Linked DNA regions of Oryctolagus cuniculus. Each later gene encodes a partner of the first gene's protein in a complex. Links are inferred from orthologs where the notes say so. Each region holds a gene or a part of one and is shown on either strand. Other genes may lie near its edges. The genes, in order: CDK6 and cyclin-dependent kinase inhibitor 2A.

Region 1 (3,819 bases):
CTTTGTCTGGACAATGCGGCCCTCAGGATGCCCGGCAGAGGCACAGTCGCAGTGTCCTGCCCCAGCCCCCAGTGACAGGTGCACTTAGGACAGAGGCATCTGCTGTTCCCGAGTGAAGTCTGACCTGGGCTCTCTGGGGGTAAAGGAACGGGAAACAGAGCTGTGGAAACCCCGTGACAGTTGCACCAGGACCTCCTGAAACCTGGAACTACGTTCAGGACAGCACTCTCTCCAGGCCCTCAGTCCTCGTGAGTGCCGTCCAAGGAGAAGAATGTGCCGTACGCCAGCACCCTTGCTTTCCCACGGTTCCGAGAAGTCTCCTCCAGCGTTGGACTAGCTGTGCCTCTTGTCCACCACACTGAATTTTTCTTTTATTCAGAGTTATCCGGAGTCTGAGATACAGATTCTTGCATCACCTGATTTTCCTTGCTCAAACCCACTTACCCAGCCATGTATCCATTTTAAATCATGTCTATGTATTGTATACATTGTGCAGGGCCACCAGCTTACTAATGTGTCCGAAGAACCTGAAGTTACACATAAGCAGAATTGAAGCAGTTCATGTTTTCAGTGTAGTGGTGATATACTTCCTCTGCATTTTGGATTAACAGGATGATTTTCTGATTGTGATCATAATGGATAATGAATGGATATTGACTGTGTTGGAAACTGTGCTATGCAGCTTATGTAAATTATCGCTGATCCTCATAACAGCCATCAGTTGTTGCCATTGTCATAAAGATACTAAGAATCATAGGTGCTAAGGCATGTGTCCTTACCTGCCAGTAAGAATGCAACCCACATCTGCCTATTTCCAAAATCTGTGTTGTCTTTCACTTGCTGTTCTCTGCAGCTTTCTGATCCCAGAAAAGTTTTCAGGGGGAACATGAATAGTAGTCTTTTTAATTTGTTTTTCAGAATGCCATATACTTTCCCTTATAAAATAATCTGTGCCTAAGACTAATGTATCTTTTAGCCTCATTTTTGTTGTTGGATTCTAATATATGTAGTTACTCTGTGGAGAAGCACTCTTTGGTCAGAAATGCAACCCAGTCGATGTGTTGATAAGCCGTGTTGAATGAGCATCATAGAAGCATGTCAGGGCTGGAGTGTCCCATCAGGATGCAACACTCCTGGGCATAAAGCCACACACACACACACACACACACACACACACACCCCGGCAGGTCTCCTCTGAACATAGTAAGTCCCGTGTTGAGGCCTACACACAAGTAATGCACTCTTCCATTTCTCCATCATCTTTTACATCTGGTGTCAGCTGCGAAAATAATCTCTCGTCACTGCCCAGTGGAGTTAACAGTCCTGGGAGCTTCCCCGGTAGCATGTGACCTGCCCTGTTGCAGTAGGACAGAGGCGAAGGAGAGAGCCTGGCTCACCACGTGAAGGTTTCCTGGGCTCCTGCGCCCTCCTGCCTGGCCCTCAGAGCCGGCTGTCCTCTAGCATTCCCTGAGGGAAGAGCTTTGGCAGTGCCCAGTGCTCACGTGCACCTGTGGTTCTTTCCTAGCGTCATTGGACTCCCAGGAGAAGAGGACTGGCCCAGAGATGTTGCCCTTCCCAGGCAAGCGTTTCATTCCAAATCTGCCCAGCCGATTGAGAAGTTCGTAACAGATATCGATGAACTAGGCAAAGACCTGCTTCTGGTAAGTTCGCCCTGTGCTGATAAGACGCCTGCCCTGTCCAGGCTGTGTGGCAGCAGGAGGACCCGTGCAGCGACTGCTGCAGCCATCACCTGCATCGCCACAAGAGCCCAGGGCTGCAGTCCCCCTATAAGTTCCCTTCCCGCACCTGGAGCTACTAGTGGCTGTCGATCCCGGGACATCTTTCCAATCCACACTCTTGAAAGCCACCGCCTTTGAACTTGTGTTTGGGAGCGGCCTTTCTAAGGCTGTGGGCTCACTTGGATATGTGCTTCTTTACCAAAGTCCCGCGTCCTTTGATGTCTCCTGGTTTACAGTTTCGTGCTACCTTTAGCAATTTGGGAGTCATTTGGGGTGCCTTTCCTTAAATAGTCACATGCTTAGGAAAATGATTTTCCAAAGGAACTACCGAGTATGCTTATCAGTGATTGAAGTGTTTATTAAGTGATTTCCTATAGCTGGAGGTCAGAACAGTAGGTGGAGGAGCTCACCTGCCGGGCTGCTCTTGGTGCCTGGAGCCCGGTAAGCAGTCATCAGCAGGTTTTGATGCCTGCGTCAGCCTGTGGGTCAAGTGCCGTCTTCTCCGCGTGTCCCATTCTGGGGCCCAGGACGGAGATCAGACTCGGAAGGTAGAGGCAGCCAGCAGGGCAAGCAGAAGCACGGGATGCCCCTGAGAGCCAAGGCCTGGGAAGAAGCACCCTGCCTCTGTCCACGTCCCATTGGCCAGGGCCAACCTGAATGGAGGAAAGAATGCGTATGTGTACATACACATGCATGGAGGGGGAGGGGAGAGAAGAAGGAGAATATGTGGTTACAAAAAAAGTTACGCACTCAATCTATCCTAATAGTCAACTCTTGACTCACATATGATTCCAAAAGCTCATTTTTTAAAGAATTATTTCATTTATTTGAAAGAGTTACACAGAGAGAGGAGAGACAGAGAGAGGTATTCCATTCTGCAGGCTCACTCCCCAAATGACCGCAATGGCCAGAGCTGTGCCAATCCGAAGCCAGGAGCCAGGAGCTTCTTCCAGGTCTCCCACGTGGGTGCAGGGGCCCAAGGACTTGGGCCATCTTTCACTGCTTTCCCAGGCCACAGCAGAGAGCTGGATCAAAAGAGGAGCAGATGGGACTCAAACCGGCACTCATATGGGATGCCGGCGCTTCAGGCCAGCGCGTTAATCCGCTGAGCCACAGCATCAGCTCCCCCCCCTCCCCAAAAGCTCATTTTATAAGTCAGTTAAGAAACTGGGAAGTAAATTAAATTGAACAATATTACTACACAATTTAAAGAGCCTCCTTCTTCCTCAAGCAGAGCAGCAATAGGAGGTCACTGCCTTTGCTAACAGTATCTCCATAGGACAAAGTGCAGCAGGGCTTCCCAGCTGGCTGGAGTCCTCCCTCTCTCCACCCTCTTCCCTGCACCCAGCCCTCAGAGGGGCTGTGGGGAAAGGGCTTGCAGGCAACCCTCCAGGAACACCTCCCTGTGTCCGGATCACATCCCACGATTCTTCTCTCTTTGCTGTGTCCTGCCTTTTCTAACAGCACTGCCTGATTTTCTATTTCTTAGATTCTGGAAAGACAGAACTCAGGCTCCAGCATGTTGCCCCAGGGTAGGTGTTGTGGTGCAGCCAGTTAAGCCTTATCATGGGCTGCCTGCGTCCCCTGTTGCAGTGCCTGGAATCACGTCCGCCTCCACTTCCCATCCAGCTCCCAGGAGTGCACCTTGGAGGCAGCAGATCATGGCTGTCTCTGGAACCCATAGAGGAAACCTGGATGGAGTTCCTGGCTCCTGGTTCAGGCCTGGCCTAGCTCTGACTGTTGTAGGCATTTAGGAAGTGAACTAGCAGATGGATGTTGTCTCTTACCCCCTTTTCTCTCTCACTCTTATTCTCTCTTGCTTTCTCGCTCTCTTGCTCACTCGCTCTCGCTCTCTCTCAAATAAATAAAAATTACTAACTAGGTGCCAGCATTGTGGTACAGTGGTACACCACTTGAAACTCTGGCATCTTGTATCAAGGGACCGATTCAAGTCCTATCAACTCCTAGCTGATGATGGCCCAAGTAGTTGGGTTCCTGCCATACACATAGGAGACCTGGGTAGAGTTTTGAGCTCCTGGCTTGGGCCTGGACCAGTCCCAGTCATTGCAGCCATTTGGGG
Region 2 (3,090 bases), on another chromosome or scaffold:
GAGCTTGCGCCACTGAAGTAGATCTCGCCTCTCACGCCCAAGGCCAATAGGGTTCTGCATTCAGTATGCACAGCATCTCTCAGCGGAGCGCGCAAGCCTCCGCCTTGGCTCCGCTAACGCCCAGGGAGCCTACAGCCCTAGTTCTGAGTTAGCATAAATTCTAGTCTCTTCAAAGTCATATTTTACCTTTAAATATTAGTGTTGCTGTCGTACATCGCTTCTCATATCTATTTTGATTTTAAAAAAAATCCTCCCCCAGGCCCATTTCTCTCATTCATTGGTCTCTCAAAAAACTGAAAGCTTAAGCAAAAAACAGGGGCAAGAGGAGAGCTCCGTCTCCCTCCCATAGTGTGCAGCAAATCCGAATGTGCAGATTTGGACGTCGCCATCCCACAGGCCCTAAAATTGCCTTGCGGAGTTGTGGAAAGCTGCACCTCTCCACCGCATAAAGCGGAGGGTCGCATTTAGTAAAATCTTGCAACTGAGCTGAGAATGACGGATTTCACGCAGACACCCTGCAGAACCGGTTTTGGAAATCCAGCGGTTGGTCCCGTGATGTATTTATGCGAACGCCGAACCTGAGACCCGGGAGAGGGGATGCGGCTCACTAGCTAGCCTGCAGGAGGAAGCCGGGGCGCTAGCTGGACCTCTAGCCTCCAAGGTCTTGTTTAGCCTTGAGCTGCGTGGGTGGGGGTTGGGGGGGGATTTGAGCGGTGGCAGAGGCAGGACGGGGTGTGGGACGGGCTTTCACGAACCCAGATTCCGCAGACTGCGGCTCTGACTAGGCTGCGAGTTGGCAAGACTCGGGTTTTCCCGGGCCTTAGGCTCTGTGAGCCGCATTGAGAGCCCAGACCCTGCTTTCCCGTGCTCAACTTTGCCTTCTTGAAAACAAGCGCACTGAGCTTCCGGAGCTCTGTGTTGGAATTCTGGCATCATCCGTCCTCACCTGCGGTACCTTCCACGGCCCTTGCGCGGGCGTGGTTACCGCCTTCGGCGGCGCGCAGGTACCGAGCGACGTCGTGGTGGCCCCGCTCCTCAGCCAGGTCCACGGGCAGGCGGCCCCCGGCGTCGCGCACGTCCAGCCGCGCCCCGGCCCGGTGCAGCGCCACCAGCGTGTCCAAGAAGCCCTCCCGGGCGGCGTCGTGCACCGGTCGGCTGAGGGTGGCGGGGTCGGCGCAGTTGGGCTCGGCGCCGTGGAGCAGCAGCAGCTCGGCCACGCGGGCGCTGCCCATCATCATGACCTGCGCGAGAGGGAAGAGCGGTCAGGGCTAGTGTATGGATCAGGACTTTATGAAGTATCCCTTCCTAGGCAGACACCAATGCCAGGCACGGTGTATAATTGTCGTTCATTGGCTTCCAGTCACCAACACCCTTCTCCAGTTCTCCCACCCATCCCATTTTCAGTACACACTGGATTGCATCGTATTCTCCAACTTTTTGCGGAGCTCTGGCCACAAGCAGAACACTATCAGACAGTCAAAGCGAAAAACAGTGAGGGACAAACTGCCTTTTACTACGGTGGTCTGACTGCCTGTATTTTCCCTCTCATTTGGAAATGAAACCATGTGAAGGCATGGAGACTTTGCTTAGTTCATTACTATATATCCAAACCAAGACATGTTAATTTTTAAAAGCCAACAAAGCACCATGCTTCCTGAAAAAAATCTTTTGTTATATTTATGTAACAAAATATATATTTATATATATTTATAGTATATATAAGATAAATATACCTATTTATCTTCCTTGAGTGTTAAAACTCATTTCCTGTGGTAAGTGGCATAAGGTCCTCACAATGTCAAGGTCCCAATTCTTAGAAGCTGTGAATATGTTACCTTATGTGGCAAAAGAGACTTCACAGATATGATTAAATTAAGGAATTCTTTAAAACTTAACTGACACCTAATCGTGCATATTTATTTGGCACCATATGATGATGTTCTTAATGTTAACTGACACATTAAAATACTGTGTATTATGTGGCATGATGTTTCTATACATGAATTCACTGCGTAATATCTGATCCATGTAAACGTATCTCCAAATACATTTAATATTTCTCTATGGTGAAAACATTAAACATCCTTTATTTCATGCTCTTTTATTTTTTAGAGAAACATACAGTACATTATGATTATCTATAGTTGCCCTACTTAAATTAAGGACCTTGAGGGGTATCCTGAATTATCAAGGTGGACCCAATGAAATCACAATATTCTCATAAAAGAAATAAGCATGGATGCAGAGGTCAGAGAGAAGACACAGGGGCTTCAAGCCAAGAGCCACTAGAAGGTAGAAAAGGCAAAGAAACAGATCCCTCCCTAGAGCTTCCCACACAATGCCTGTGGACCCAACTTGGAATCTTCATCTCCACGACTATAAAATAATAATTTTGGTTTTGCTTTAGTCACCGGTTGTGATGATTAGTTACAGCAGTAGGAAAGGAAAACACTTCTTTTGTTAAAGTTAAAACGTCCTTAATTTTTCACTCCTGGTACCACTGCTACAGTTTACAGGGCAATATAGCTGATGTAGTGAAAAGACAAAACTACAACAAATAAAAGACTTCAGGAATGTACATCTAGTTGACACTACATTGCATTAATCAATAACTGCACTTTTTTGCAAACTGTATCTATGACAATCCTGAACAAGAAGGGTTTCCTGTTTAAGGTGCAGTAACATTTTTGGACTATGAATCATCATTTTTTCTGTGGCAGATTTTCACACTTGGGATGAATGTCTCAAAGAATCCTGGAACTTTTTGACAACTCCTTGCTTGTTCTTTCCCTGCTAAGAATTGTAGCCATTTTCTGCTTTTTTTCCCCCCTGCATTTTTAGAAACTTCTGCTATCTTATCCATCTCTTCAACCACCAAATCCATAACCTTTCCACCATAAGAACCACCCCCTTTCATGGGTCCATAATTTGATTGCTGTTGTTCATTCTAAATTCGAACATCATTGTAGCAATCACCACCACCATAGTTAGAACCTCCAAAATTTCCTCCTTCATTGTAACCATCATATCCTCCTCCTTCACCCTATCCACCACCTTGCTTTCCATATCCTGGGCCACTACCATCATAGC

Evidence for each region.
Region 2: the proteins of CDK6 (region 1) and cyclin-dependent kinase inhibitor 2A are in contact, whole or in part, in a crystal structure (PDB 1BI7), measured with the Homo sapiens proteins. The link is inferred for Oryctolagus cuniculus from reciprocal best matches to the Homo sapiens genes CDK6 and CDKN2A. Residues at the interface, in NP_001138778.1 of Homo sapiens: Glu14, Cys15, Val16, Ala17, Glu18, Ile19, Phe28, Lys29, Arg31, Leu33, Asn35, Gly36, Gly37, Arg38, Phe39, Arg44, His100, Asp102, Gln103, Asp104, Thr106, Thr107, Asp110, Lys111, Gln149, Thr154, Ser155, Leu166, Ala167, Arg168; in NP_000068.1 of Homo sapiens: Thr18, Ala21, Arg22, Gly23, Arg24, Glu27, Asn42, Tyr44, Arg46, Gln50, Val51, Met52, Met53, Met54, Gly55, Ser56, Arg58, Asp74, Ala76, Thr77, Thr79, Asp84, Arg87, Glu88, Gly89, Phe90, Asp92, Asp108, Trp110, His123.

Annotation. Positions count from the first base shown.
Region 1 is NC_091447.1:43,169,227-43,173,045, forward strand, and holds part of CDK6 (cyclin-dependent kinase 6), read left to right. Parts: intron 1-1,525; coding exon 1,526-1,661; intron 1,662-3,819. UniProt on the Homo sapiens protein: Serine/threonine-protein kinase involved in the control of the cell cycle and differentiation; promotes G1/S transition. Phosphorylates pRB/RB1 and NPM1.
Region 2 is NC_091432.1:185,034,813-185,037,902, forward strand, and holds part of cyclin-dependent kinase inhibitor 2A, read right to left. Parts: intron 1,242-3,090; coding exon 947-1,241; intron 1-946. UniProt on the Homo sapiens protein: Acts as a negative regulator of the proliferation of normal cells by interacting strongly with CDK4 and CDK6. This inhibits their ability to interact with cyclins D and to phosphorylate the retinoblastoma protein.